Arabidopsis thaliana: one gene and its partner. The protein of the gene in region 1 interacts with the protein of each later gene in a pairwise test. Each region holds a gene or a part of one and is shown on either strand. Other genes may lie near its edges.

The links. The genes of interacting proteins can lie anywhere in the genome.
Region 2: the proteins of AT1G22810 (region 1) and PLIM2b interact in a two-hybrid assay, tested with the Arabidopsis thaliana proteins (one large-scale study listed by BioGRID).

What each region holds. Positions count from the first base shown.
Region 1 is NC_003070.9:8,071,490-8,077,975, forward strand, and holds AT1G22810 (Integrase-type DNA-binding superfamily protein), read right to left. Parts: upstream 3,549-6,486; 5' UTR 3,481-3,548; coding exon 3,046-3,480; 3' UTR 2,742-3,045; downstream 1-2,741. Other genes in the region: AT1G22800 (S-adenosyl-L-methionine-dependent methyltransferases superfamily protein), read left to right, coding at 531-722, 818-901, 1,016-1,094, 1,174-1,315, 1,427-1,496, 1,596-1,660, 1,760-1,838, 1,919-2,006 and 2 more; AT1G22830 (Tetratricopeptide repeat (TPR)-like superfamily protein), read left to right, coding at 5,432-6,486.
Region 2 is NC_003070.9:278,743-286,069, forward strand, and holds PLIM2b (GATA type zinc finger transcription factor family protein), read left to right. Parts: upstream 1-4,018; 5' UTR 4,019-4,176; coding exon 4,177-4,311; intron 4,312-4,389; coding exon 4,390-4,489; intron 4,490-4,571; coding exon 4,572-4,594; intron 4,595-4,701; coding exon 4,702-4,791; intron 4,792-5,070; coding exon 5,071-5,340; 3' UTR 5,341-5,503; downstream 5,504-7,327. Other genes in the region: AT1G01770 (propionyl-CoA carboxylase), read left to right, coding at 17-67, 145-346, 424-498, 585-683, 794-834, 1,055-1,168, 1,232-1,346, 1,438-1,628 and 7 more; KEA1 (K+ efflux antiporter 1), read left to right, coding at 6,039-7,327. UniProt on the Arabidopsis thaliana protein: Binds to actin filaments and promotes cross-linking into thick bundles. Has an actin-stabilizing activity. The actin regulatory activities are inhibited by pH > 6.8 but are [Ca(2+)] independent.

The DNA of each region.
Region 1 (6,486 bases):
GAGAGTGGCAATAACTCTTGTTCTTGTAACGCTCTCAACCACATTACGTACGTGTACAACAAAACTAGAATGCTTATATAACTAGTCCACTAACTGCAAAGCGAATCTGCAATGGTTTCGCAACGATCCACCATGTTCGTTAGTTCTATCGTTCACATTGTCCTTAAGGAACTGATCAATCATGTAAACATTTAATGGACTTTACAAAGAATCTTGAGTCCTCTGTTGTATTAATTGTTTACCAATTACCAGCTTCCATAGCGTTTCTGGTTGCAAGTACTTAACCATCTTGGAGGCGTAAACAGTTTTGCCAGAGAAAGTTGATAATCCATCTGATTCTAATGACAACATAGGGGTTAAAACGTAAAATTAAAAACAATAGGGAAACATTATAGAATATAGATAAACTTCAGGGATCAAAATGAAAGAATACAAGACAGAGAAATCTACCGTCTCTTCTTCAAACCAAACCCAGAACCTCCGTCCGACCAATTCCGGTGCAGCTAAGAACCAGAGATAGAGAGATAGAGATGCGGAGGATCAATTCACTGTACGGAAGAATTGGTCTCCTAAAACGAGTACCCGAGAAATCTACGAAGCAAGCTCATACATTTCTCGCATCTCTCTCCTTCTCTACGGAAGGTGCTTATGGCGGTGACGGTGAGTTTCAGCAGAACAGCTCCAAAGTCAAGATCTTTGACCGAGACCTCAAGCGAATACATGTGTAGTGTTCGAATTCATCTTACATTTGCCTCTCTCTCTTATTATTAATCCAGATTTCGAGTTCTTATAATTTGTGTGTTCGATTGATTTGCAGCGTGATCGAGCGGCGTGGCTTTCTCGCCAAAAAAACGATTCTTTTGTTGACGCTGTTGCAGATAATCTACTTGATCGCTTAGAGGTACTCTTTTGTTTGATGCATGCTCGCCATTGAGAGAGCAATTTAGCTTCTCTTGGGGCTAAATTTCTCGATTTCAATCAAGCTTAGTAAATATTGTTTTTGCTCTTTCTTAAGGATTGTAAGAAGAGTTTTCCCACTGCATTTTGTTTGGGAGGATCTCTTGGTGCTGTTAAGAGATTACTACGTGGTCGCGGTTAGTTTATCTCTCTCTTGACTGTTCTGGTTCTGCATTTTGAGTGTTGTTGATGATGATTTTTGGCTTTGTTGCACAGGTGGGATTGAGAAGCTTATCATGATGGATACTTCATATGACATGATTAAGTCATGTAGAGATGCTCAAGACGATTCACTCGATAACTCCATTGAAACCTCTTACTTTGTTGGTGATGAAGAGTTTCTGCCAGTCAAAGAGAGGTAACAAGGACGTTATTGTAAAACCTGTTTTTCTTTGTTTTTTTCCCCTTGCTGCGACTCACTAGAGTTCTATTACCTACTAATATCTTGTCAAATATGTTGTATGTGAAGTTCGGTTGATTTGATCATTAGTTCGTTGGGGCTTCACTGGACAAATGATCTTCCTGGATCCATGATACAGGTTTTCTCGTTTTCGTTGCTTTTTGTTGGTGTATGTGAATTGGTTTGTCCTATGAGAAAATATTTATAATGTGTTGGTTTTGGATTGTAATAACTGCAGTGCAAGCTAGCACTGAAGCCGGATGGCTTATTTTTAGCAGCAATTCTTGGTGGAGAAACCTTAAAGTTTGTCCTCTCTTTCATTTCAAATCAATACTCAATGTAGAGTCTCTTATTCCATATCATGTTTCTGATTAGCCTTTACGTATTGAAATTATTTACAAGGGAGCTGAGAATAGCATGCACTTTGGCTCACATGGAGCGGGAAGGAGGGATTAGTCCTCGGCTATCACCTTTGGCACAGGTGTGTGTGAATATCTTAGCAAGATCAAGTTGATTTCTAGTACTGAGGTGAAAGAACATGGCTTCTCTTTTCTTTTTCAGGTTAGGGACGCAGGGAATCTGTTGACCAGGGCGGGTTTTAGTCTTCCTGGTGTTGATGTTGATGAATATGTAGTTAAATACAAGAGAGGTAAACTGTTCCACTTTTTTCCTACTTCATCGTTTGCAACAACGTGTATCTTCCAAGAATTATTTCTGATTTGCCTTCTCGTTTATATCTTTCTACTCAGCGATGGATCTTATAGAGCATCTTCGTGCGATGGGTGAAACCAATGCTCTTCTCGAGAGAAACAAGATTTTGAATCGTGAAACTGCTGTTGCCACGGCAGCCATATATGACTCCATGTTTGCCACAGAGGACGGCACTATACCCGCTACTTTTCAGGTCTGTCCATAATAGTTCAGAACTAACTCAACAGTGAAAAAAACCCATAACCTAGCTTCATTATTCAAGTTGTTTTGCTACAATCCATGATTAAAACAATTTTATGCTAAATACTACAAGTGAAATTAACAACATTTGAGGCCTAAAGTATATATCGTTTGGCATTCTTGTGTAGGTGATTTACATGACAGGATGGAGAGAACATTCGTCTCACCCGCAGGCCAAACGAAGAGGTTCAGCCACCGTATCCTTCACGGATCTCCAAAAGCAATTTGGCGGACAATCTTGATGGAATGATTGAAGAAGAGAAACATTCAATAAGCAGAGACTTTACAAATGACACTTGAGAGAGAAATCAGTGACTTAAGCTATAAGGTACTTGGAGGAACTCTTGTAGATTTGTCGGAGTCTTTCACTGGGCGAAAGCATCACAATTAGGACGCCTGCTTTCGCCCATGTATTTCGTATCGAATAATAGCTGATCAGAAACATATTTGTATTTTACAAAAATATTACGAATACTTAAAAATCTCAATCTTCAATCACGAAACATGATCTCGCGCTAGGTTTCTTGAATAGATTTGTATACAATGGACCAAACTTCACTAAATCAGTGAAACAAACATTAATCAAAACCTTATAATGTATATTCACAACCATTTGATTGTTTCTCTGTGGTACCTAATCTTGTTTTGAGTAAGATTTTAGCACCACACCTGTTTTGATTATGGTACAAAATCTTACTCAAAAGAAGATCAAACGTGATCATGACCGTCGAGATAAATCAAACGTGATCGTGGCCGCCCAGATAATCATACACTGAAATATTCAACGGCTCCACTTGATCAGCTCCATTCTCGTAATACGTCGTCGTATCTCCGCATCCAGAGTTCACGCTGGTACTGTGGACGATTCCGGCGTCAATGGCCATGCCGGCGTTAGAAGCAGCTTGCTGGATAGATCTCGGAGAAGTTCTGGAAACGAGTGAAGGATTAAGCAAATGAGGGAAATTGAGAGATTCTAAAGAATCAGGTTGGTGTAAACAGAAGAAAGCAACGTCGTGTGCTACGGCGGCACCTTCTGCTGTTGAGAATGAACCTAACCAGAGACGGTCACGAGTTCCCGGAACTCTAATCTCTGATACCCATTTGCCCCATTTCCGACGACGGATTCCTTTGTACTTTGACTGACTTTCACCGGTGGATTCTCTGTAATCCATTTTTTGTTGTTGTATGATGATCGATGTGAAGAAGAAGAAGAAGAAGAAGAGACTTTTGAGTGTTGTTTATGTTTGAATATGAAGATACAAAGACTATTTATACGTTGAAGTTTAGTGAAAGTCAAAATATTATATAATATTTTTTAATATGAATCAAGAATGAGAATGAAGTTGACCAATTATAAAACTAGTTAATTCTCGAGGAAAAAATCAACTGGTCAAAGTATGACCCATTTTTTTAGTGGTACCAATTTGACATGTGCCTGACTAGTCGATTTTTTTTTCTTTCAAGTTGTAACTTTTTTTTTTGCTGTGTCTAACAGTAAATTCAATGTATTTAGAAAGTAAGAGTCATTTCTATAAAACAAGTGGTATATATACCGTTCTGTTTGGTTTCAAAATAAATGATATTTTTTGTTTTTTTAAAATAGAAAATTAATCTTTATTTTTTGTTGTTGTTGCTTTGGTATATCATAGTTAGGTTACCTTAATTTATAGGTTTTTCATTTTTTTTTATATGAAAAAGTCTTAAGTCGAAATCTAGAATTTTATACTACTATATATCCTCTATTTCGTTTCATAAAAATCTGTAAAATAGGTGATGACATAATAGTATAGAGAAAAGCAGTGAAAAACACAAAAGTCGATTCAAACTCCACCGATGAAGAATGTGAAAACGTCGTCGTCGATGGTTAAACCACGTGGGATAAAGAAAGACTTTCTTTGCCTTTTTTGGTTACAAATTGCGTCATGCGTGACATGAGCACCGTCTAAAGGGGGTCCTTTATTTTTGGCATTTGACCAAAGATCTGTAATGACTTAATGATTCTCCACGGACAACACACAGACACAACAGCCCAAACTAACTGGAAAAAGTTATTTTTTGTCTTCTTCTGTGTCTGCTGACTCATGTACATGGTTGTCAAATTTTAGTTCACACACAACCACATCCAAAACACGAATCATCCACGGAGAAACCCAGTCTCATAATGTATTTAATGTGTTTTCATCCTTCGGATGCATAACCAATTCTTTGTAGTTGATACTTGATTAGGTTTTTCTCGACACTGACATTTGGGAGTTGATTGTGATGTGATACACCGTCTTATCATAGTCACCGACTCATTTAGAAGAAACCTCAAAGGTAACTTGGTAAGTTACGATTAGAGATGTTTTTAGAAACGTCTAGCAGATTATTGATATCTGACAATAAATATTCACACCTACTCGGTTGGTCTATGCGATTTTAGACAATTTAAATGTTTATAAAAACCCTAGTGTATCAGTATATATAAAATCAATATTAATGAAATAATGCAATTAATAAATTACTTATTATAAGTTCTTATAAAAAAAATACTAGTGACCTCATTTTGTAATATCAAAAACTGGTGCCAACTTCATCTAACACGATTTATTTAACCTTGGTAATATTTTGAAAAAACCATAAATTTATAAAGTTGTTACAGTCAGATTTTAGTGGGCTAAAATGGGTTACAATTGCAATGGGTCTGGAAGTGGACAAATCTAAACAAGCGGCCCAAATCATCTGAGCACATGCCAGAACATTGAATAAATGTCAAAAAGGAGTCTCTTTCTACATAACCTTCACGCGCGGCTACTCCTACTTTCGCTTCGTCCGGTTCCGTCGATACTGTCTCCGAATCACTGTCTTCTTTCCTTTTTCTTCCTACATGACATCTGTCTTATCTCTTTTATGTTTCTCTAGATGTACTTATACTTCCATGTTTCGTCTGTATACGGTATGTTTCGCTCACCACATGTTCGATGAAATTCCTCAACGAAACTTTTTTTTTATCTTTCTCACCTTTCTTCCTTTGACTTTCAGACGGAGAAGCAAAATTGCTTGAACTTTCGCTTTGATGGATCAAACTAGTCTTGGAACAATAATCAAAATCCATTCGTTGCCATCATATGCAGCTTACTGTATATGCCGTCTTCTCCTTCTCGCTCTATACTCAGAGGTCTCACTGTATCCGAAATTTGCAAGTTTATTCCTCAATCGTGGAAACAGCTGCCGAGACCCATCTCAGAAACTTCCAAAACCCATGATGATGAATCAGTTCCACAAGTGCTTTTCAATTCATTTAGACATTGCATTTCCCATGGTCAATTATATGAAGCTTTCAGAACTTTCTCTCTACTTCGCTACCAGTCTGGTTCTCATGAATTCGTTTTGTATTCATCAGCTTCTCTTCTATCTACATGTGTGGGTTTTAATGAGTTTGTTCCTGGCCAGCAACTTCATGCTCATTGTATCTCGTCGGGTTTGGAGTTTGACTCTGTTTTGGTCCCAAAGTTGGTCACTTTCTACTCTGCTTTTAATCTCCTTGACGAAGCTCAGACCATTACTGAGAACTCTGAGATTTTGCATCCCTTGCCGTGGAATGTGCTCATCGGTTCGTATATTAGGAACAAAAGGTTTCAGGAGTCTGTTTCTGTTTACAAGCGAATGATGAGTAAAGGAATTAGAGCGGATGAATTTACTTACCCGTCTGTTATCAAGGCTTGTGCAGCATTACTGGATTTTGCATATGGGAGAGTTGTTCATGGCTCTATTGAGGTTAGCTCTCACAGGTGTAACTTGTATGTCTGCAACGCGTTGATATCTATGTATAAAAGATTTGGTAAAGTGGATGTTGCTCGGAGATTGTTTGACAGGATGTCTGAAAGGGATGCTGTCTCATGGAATGCAATAATCAACTGTTATACTTCAGAAGAAAAGTTAGGGGAAGCTTTTAAGCTTCTTGATAGAATGTATCTCTCTGGTGTCGAAGCGAGTATTGTAACTTGGAACACAATAGCTGGAGGTTGTTTGGAGGCAGGAAATTACATAGGGGCTTTGAATTGTGTTGTTGGGATGAGAAATTGCAATGTAAGAATAGGTTCTGTAGCTATGATTAATGGTTTAAAGGCATGCTCACACATTGGAGCGTTAAAGTGGGGGAAAGTATTTCATTGCCTTGTGATCCGTAGTTGTAGTTT
Region 2 (7,327 bases), 7.8 Mb from region 1:
TGGGATTCTTACTCTCATGGCTAACCCAGACGTTAAAGAGATTCTCTGCGATTGTGTGATAAACTTGGTAAGAATTTTTCATTTTGTTTTTTCTTTTCCGTTAAAATTCAATCCATTGCTGGAGATGATTTGATTGAATTTCAGAGAGAGAATCCGAAGAGGCGAAGGGAGACGGTTTACGTCGGATGTGGTGCTGGATTCGGCGGCGATAGGCCACTGGCGGCTCTCAAACTGCTTCAGAGAGTTGAAGAGCTTAACTATCTTGTCCTTGAGTGCTTAGCCGAACGAACTTTGGCTGATCGATGGCTTTCTATGGCATCTGGCGGTCTCGGCTACGACCCTCGTGGTATGTTTTTGGACTTTGGAGGTTGCTAAAATTACTTTTAGGGATGCTTTGTAACTTCAAAATCTGTTTTTCTTCAGTTTCAGAGTGGATGCAGTTGTTGCTACCTTTGGCTGTGGAGAGAGGCACTTGTATAATCACTAACATGGGTGCAAGTAAGTGCTTACAATATATAATGGAGGAGGCCTTTTTTCTCTCTGTTTTTCTTTTCATCTGAATTATCGTGTTTTTTTCCTTGTAGTTGATCCCTCTGGGGCTCAGAAGAAAGTTCTCGAGGTAGCCGGTGAATTAGGTCTCACCATTTCCGTGGCTGTGGCTCATGAGGTGCATTTTGAAACAGGTAATGGAACCTACTTTCATCCCTGGGAGATATTGTCAGTGTTATGGGTATTTAACACTGTCTGAAGCCATAATAAGTGTGATTAACCCTTGTCTTTCAATCTTTTTAAGGCTCGGGATCATCTTTTGGCGGTCAATATTGCTCTGCAGGGGTATGATTCTGGTTTTCTAACTCCTGATCATATGTGTCAAATGTGATATTATCAGCTAGTGACAATTATTTTGATAGAGTAGAAGATATGTAGAACATAGTTATGTGTACTGTGAAGGACTCTGGGTTATATGTTATATATAAAGAGTTTTCCATGGATTATTTAGCTCCTCCATGTGATTTGTGTGGTTTCCCTGAACTTTTATCCTCCTTTGTTGAAGGGTACTAGCACTTATCTTGGAGCAGCTCCTATTGTTGAATGCCTGGAGAAGTACCAACCAAACGTGATAATTACTTCAAGAGTGGCTGATGCCGCCTTATTTTTAGCACCAATGGTGAGGCGTTCTTGTCGTTTCCTGTTTCGTGATTAAATCTGATCATTCTTGTTGTGTCATCAGGTCTATGAACTAGGTTGGAATTGGAATGACTTGGAGCTGCTAGCTCAGGGAACTCTCGCTGGCCACCTTCTGGAGTGCGGTTGCCAGCTCACTGGTGGATACTTCATGCATCCAGGTGCGTTTTACGCTTATTGGCTCAGGGAAGATATGATGAACTACTGTTTTCCATTATCAGTATGGTCATTTCGTTCCTCAATGTTCTTTAGGTGATCAGTATAGAGACATGGCTTTCCCTCTTCTCCAGGATTTGTCACTTCCTTATGCAGAGATTGGCTATGATGGTAAAGTATGTGTATCAAAGGTTGAAGGTAGTGGTGGAATTTTAAATACCAGTACTTGCGCCGAGCAACTTCTGTATGAAATTGCTGACCCTAGTGCCTACATTACACCTGATGTGGTAAGTTAGCTGTACAAAATCTAGAAGAAATAACTGTAAAAACGGCGGAAATATTTGATTTGAAAACCTTCTTTGCAGGTAATCGATATTCGAGGTGTTTCTTTCCTTCCCCTGTCAGACTGCAAAGTACAATGCAGTGGAGCAAAACCATCTTCTAACACTTCTGTGCCTGAGAAACTCTTGCGGTTAATTCCAAAGGTTGTTATCCATAGAAAATGCTGGTGGTATTTGATTGATGCTAAAGAGCAACCTATGTTTGGTTCTATAATTCGTATTTTCTTTGCAGGAGTGTGGTTGGAAAGGGTGGGGAGAGATATCTTATGGAGGAAATGGTTCTATACAACGTGCTAAAGCTTCAGAGTTTCTGGTGCGCCTATGATTAATATGTCTATGATGTAGTAGCATTTTTTGGCCCCATCGTCGCTTGAAATGACTCCTTATGGTGCCTTAAATTGGAGTTCATTTCTTATCAAGTGTATGTACGTATTTTACTTGTGTTTTTTCCTTCTTTCTTTCAGGTTCGATCTTGGATGGAAGAAACCATTCCTGGTGTTAACCATTGTATTCTTTCTTATGTGATTGGGGTTGATAGCTTGAAGGCGACAAGCAACGGCACTGAATCTTGGCAGTCATGTGGAGATATTAGATTACGTATGGATGGTCTTTTTAAACTGAAGGAACATGCGGTCCAGTTAACAAAAGAGTTTACTGCTCTATATACAAACGGACCAGCTGGTGGTGGTGGAATTAGGTAATTTCTTCACGTTGATGTTCGCTCCATATATCAATCCAATGCTAATTGTAGCTTTACAGTAGTACCAAATCCTGTTGAGTTGAGACATCTTATGACTAGGGACAATGTATTGAAACTAGTTATTTGTTATGAGATTCGGGGTGGTCTTTTTGGTTTGACAAAACTGCTTGTAAATTATATGCAGTACCGGACACAAGATGGAAATTGTTCTTGAAAAGCGTTTGGTAGGTCGTCTCCATCAAAAAATTTAAACTAATATAGCCTTGCATCAATCAATTTTACGGATTCTGATGTTATATGTTTGGTTATCCAGGTCAGCCGTGAATCTGTAATGTGGAAAACTGGACTTCAGCACACCAACACTTCAGAGCCAGAGACCTCTGAACATCATTCTCCAGAGAAAATGCCAAAGGTTAGCTCGAGAGTTCTTACTAAACTAATTGTGATGACTGATAGATAATGGAAATAAACATGACCTGAATTCAAATTCCTTGGTGAATCAATCCTAGTGTGTTCGAACATCAAACTAACTCTGATGACTGATAGATATGTTTTACTATTTGAAAGCTGAAAATGTGAAAGAACTCTAACATGTGCATTTGTATTAACACCTTGTTATTACTTCCATTTGTAGTTACCTAAGGAAAATCCAAAGAACCTTACAATGAGAGGCTATCAATCTGGATTTCATCACTCTCCTGCTCCATCTGGCCAAAAGATCCCACTCTACTCTGTTGCACATAGCCGGGCTGGCGATAAAGGAAACGACATAAACTTCTCAATAATCCCGCATTATTCCCCAGATGTCGAGCGTCTGAAACTCATAATTACTCCTCAATGGGTAAAGCATGTGATGTCAGTTCTGTTATCAACCTCTTCGTTTCTGGAATTGGATGCAAAACCAATGGATGAAAATGTGTCAGTAGAGATATATGACGTTGAAGGCATTCATGCTATGAATGTTGTCGTACGGAACATATTAGATGGTGGAGTCAACTGTTCCAGGAGGATCGACCGACACGGAAAGACAATCTCAGATCTCATCTTGTGTCAACAAGTTGTGTTGTAAGACTACTTTAACTTTGCATATCAGATTTTTCTATTCAAATTCTGTGGTAATATGTTAATAAAAAGGGAGACTTGAACTACACTATAGTTCTAAAAGATAATAGAAAAAGAAGGAATCGACTTAGTGGTGCTTCACTTTCTTTTACTTCTATACATTAAAATTACTTTAATTTACAACTGGATATCTTGATAGATACGCATACAGATAAGTATTAAAAGCATTGTTTTGATTGAGAGAGAATGATATTATATATTTGTGTAATGTTAGGTTGTTGTTATATTCTTTTGCAGGATCTGACTGACATGGGTTGCACCACCTCAGAGACAGTTGGCTTAAAGTAACAATCCCTTATTGGATTGAAATTGTCAGAAACCACAACCCTTCTTTTGCTCAACTCCAATCACTTTGCCACCCAATTTTATCTCATTCATTTTGCAAAAAAGATCAAAGAGAGAGAGAGAGAGAGAGAGAAAGAAAAAAAGGAAAAAACCTTCCTCCGTTACAACCTCACAATTGCAACAAAGTTTCATATAAAAGAGGACAGAAATTTCGCAGGTTCCTCCGTTGTCTGAGGTAAAGGTTTCCTTCTTTAACTAATTCCTCAGATGACCTCTTGATTTGTTGGAAAAAAAATTAAAAAATCTGTTTCATACAGGATCTTGGAGAAGGAAGGAAACAACAACAACCAAAAAAAAACCAAAAAAAAAAAAGATAAAACAAAAAAAATGTCTTTCACAGGAACTCTCGACAAATGCAATGTTTGTGATAAGACAGTCTATGTGGTGGACATGTTGTCCATTGAAGGAATGCCTTACCACAAGTCTTGCTTCAGGTGTACCCATTGCAAAGGAACCCTTCAGGTGCACTCATTACTCATTTTCTTGTTAGATCTTCTATGATCATATTATATCAACAATTTATCTATGTGTTGATGGCAGATGAGCAACTATTCCTCCATGGACGGAGTTTTGTACTGCAAGACTCATTTTGAGCAACTCTTCAAGGAATCTGGCAATTTCAGCAAAAACTTTCAACCAGGTTCGTATTATAAAATCTCTGACATCGAATCTCTCTATCTTTCAAATCATCATGATCATAACAAGTCTCTTTCTTTTCTCAGGAAAAACTGAGAAGCCAGAGCTGGTAGGTTCATCATTACATGTCCTTGTATATGATTAGCGTGTCAATATTTCATTTTCTTTCTTTTATGATCGACTAATAGGATCTGTGTACTGATTTAAACATTACAGACTAGGACTCCCAGCAAGATATCTTCCATCTTCTGTGGAACACAAGACAAGTGTGCCGCTTGCGAAAAAACTGTTTACCCTCTTGAAAAGGTTAGTGGTATACGCATCTGCAAATGTTCTCATGGCCTAAAATACCAACGAACTAGTCTCGTAGAGAAATTTATTTGCTCTAGAATTTGTTTTTTGTTTTTTCATTTCCGTAGAATTTTTCTGTTCGGATAAAATCATTACTAGATCAAATGGAAATAAAATTTTGATTTTGGTTTGGTTTAGTATACTTTTGGTTCGATTTGAGAACGTGATGTTGGTTGGTCCAAGCAAATGTGGAATCAATTTTGGCTTGGTTCTAATCGGGTTATTTGGTAACAGATACAAATGGAAGGAGAATGCTTCCACAAGACATGTTTCCGGTGCGCTCACGGTGGGTGTACGCTGACTCACTCCTCCTACGCCTCCTTAGATAGCGTTCTCTATTGCCGACATCACTTTAACCAACTCTTCATGGAGAAAGGAAACTACGCTCACGTCCTCCAAGCCGCCAATCACCGTCGCACAGCCTCAGGCAACACTCTTCCACCGGAACCTACCGAAGACGTCGCCGTGGAGGCCAAGGAAGAGAATGGCGTTTCAGAGTCTTGAATATCTCTTACATGAGTGTTTTTGAGTGAATGATTGAATGAATGTTGTTGCGGGGGAAAGATTTGATTTCATTTGTAATGAGTTGTTTCCATATGAAGACATGATTTTTTTTGTTATTTTTTTAATTCATTCGTTATACATTTATTATTACACACGAAAAAAAGGCAAGAATTGATGTTTTTTCACTCTATGTGTGCTGCTTATGATATGCTTTCCGATGGTGATGATGATATTCGATGTAATATCTGTTCGGTTCAAAGATACCAAACTACTTATATACCGGATCAAACCAAGTGGTTATCGGGTGATGTGAATCATTCATTATTTCGTTAGGTGAGAGAGGGTGTTTTCGTAAAAGTATCTAAAAACGGCCTTAGCAATGATGTCTGGTTGGCGAGAAACTCAAAAAGGAGGAGACAGAGAAAGTTGTTTGACTGGGAAAATTTGAAGAGACGAGCCAAAATTATCTGTTTGAAACGAACGGAATTGAAGACGAGAGCCACTCCTTTCCGTTTCCACCTTTCTTCCATTCTTACTCAACTTTCCATGATTGGTTAGCCTCTCTATCTGTCCGTGGCTTGTCGTTGATTTTTTTTATCTTGGTCGTCTGAATGTGTGGAATTTCGTTTTGCTTCACAGGAGTTGTATATAAGGTTCGAGGAATAAAGTAAGGCTACTTTTTTTATTTGATTTCCGATATGGAGTATGCGTCTACTTTTCAAAGGCCGATTCTATTCCATGGTGGAGATGGTGCGAGTTACTGCTTTCCAAATCGATTGATAAGTCCTAAAGGAATCAGCATTACATCTGGGGATTCTAAAGTGCATTCGTGTTTTCGATTGAGGAGAAATGTAGCACAAAGTGGTACATTGAATTTGATGAATGCGTGTTTCTCTGGAAGGTTTTATAGTGGTCATTTGCATTCTACAAAATCAATACTTGGCAATGGCCACCAAGCCAAAAGAATCCCTTTTGGATTTAGGTTACGTTGTCAGGGTCATGAATCTCTGGGTAATGCCGATAGTAATGATCATCGGATCGGGGAATCTTCCGAAAGTAGTGATGAAACTGAAGCTACAGATTTGAAAGATGCGAGAGTGGAAAACGACACTGATAGTTTGGAGGAACTCAAGGAGTTACTACACAAGGCAATTAAAGAATTGGAAGTTGCTAGGCTCAATAGTACCATGTTTGAGGAAAAGGCTCAGAGAATCTCAGAAAGAGCCATAGCACTCAAGGATGAAGCTGCTACTGCTTGGCTTGACGTAAACAAAACCCTTGATGTCATTCGAGATACTGTTTATGAGGAGGCTCTTGCTAAAGAAGCTGTTCAAACGGCTACTATGGCCCTGTCTCTGGCTGAAGCTAGGCTTCAGGTTATAGTGGAATCACTTGAAGCTGGTGCAGGGAATGATATTCCACATGTGTCTGAAGAGACTGAGGAAACAATAGATGTTAATGATAAAGAAGAAGCTCTTTTAGCTGCCAAGGATGATATTAAAGAATGCCAAGTTAATTTAGATAATTGTGAGTCCCAACTGAGTGCTTTGCTGAGCAAAAAAGACGAGCTGCAAAAGGAAGTGGACAAGTTGAATGAGTTCGCTGAGACAATACAGATCAGTTCGTTGAAAGCCGAGGAGGATGTTACCAATATTATGAAATTGGCTGAACAAGCTGTAGCATTTGAGCTTGAGGCTACTCAACGCGTTAATGATGCAGAGATTGCTTTACAGAGAGCAGAGAAGTCTCTCTCCATTTCTCAGACCCCAGAGGAAACTCAGGGCCAACTCTCGGATGAAGAAACTTCTCAGGAGGATGCGATGGTACTTTCAGGTAACGTTGAAGATGTTACCCATCAGGTTGAAAAAGAATCACCTAAAGATGGAGATCTACCAGTGGTACAGATCACAGCTGAACTTGTGCCTGATATAGTTGGTCAGAGGAATAAAAAACTAACTCAGCCTTATGAGTCAAGCGATCATGAGAA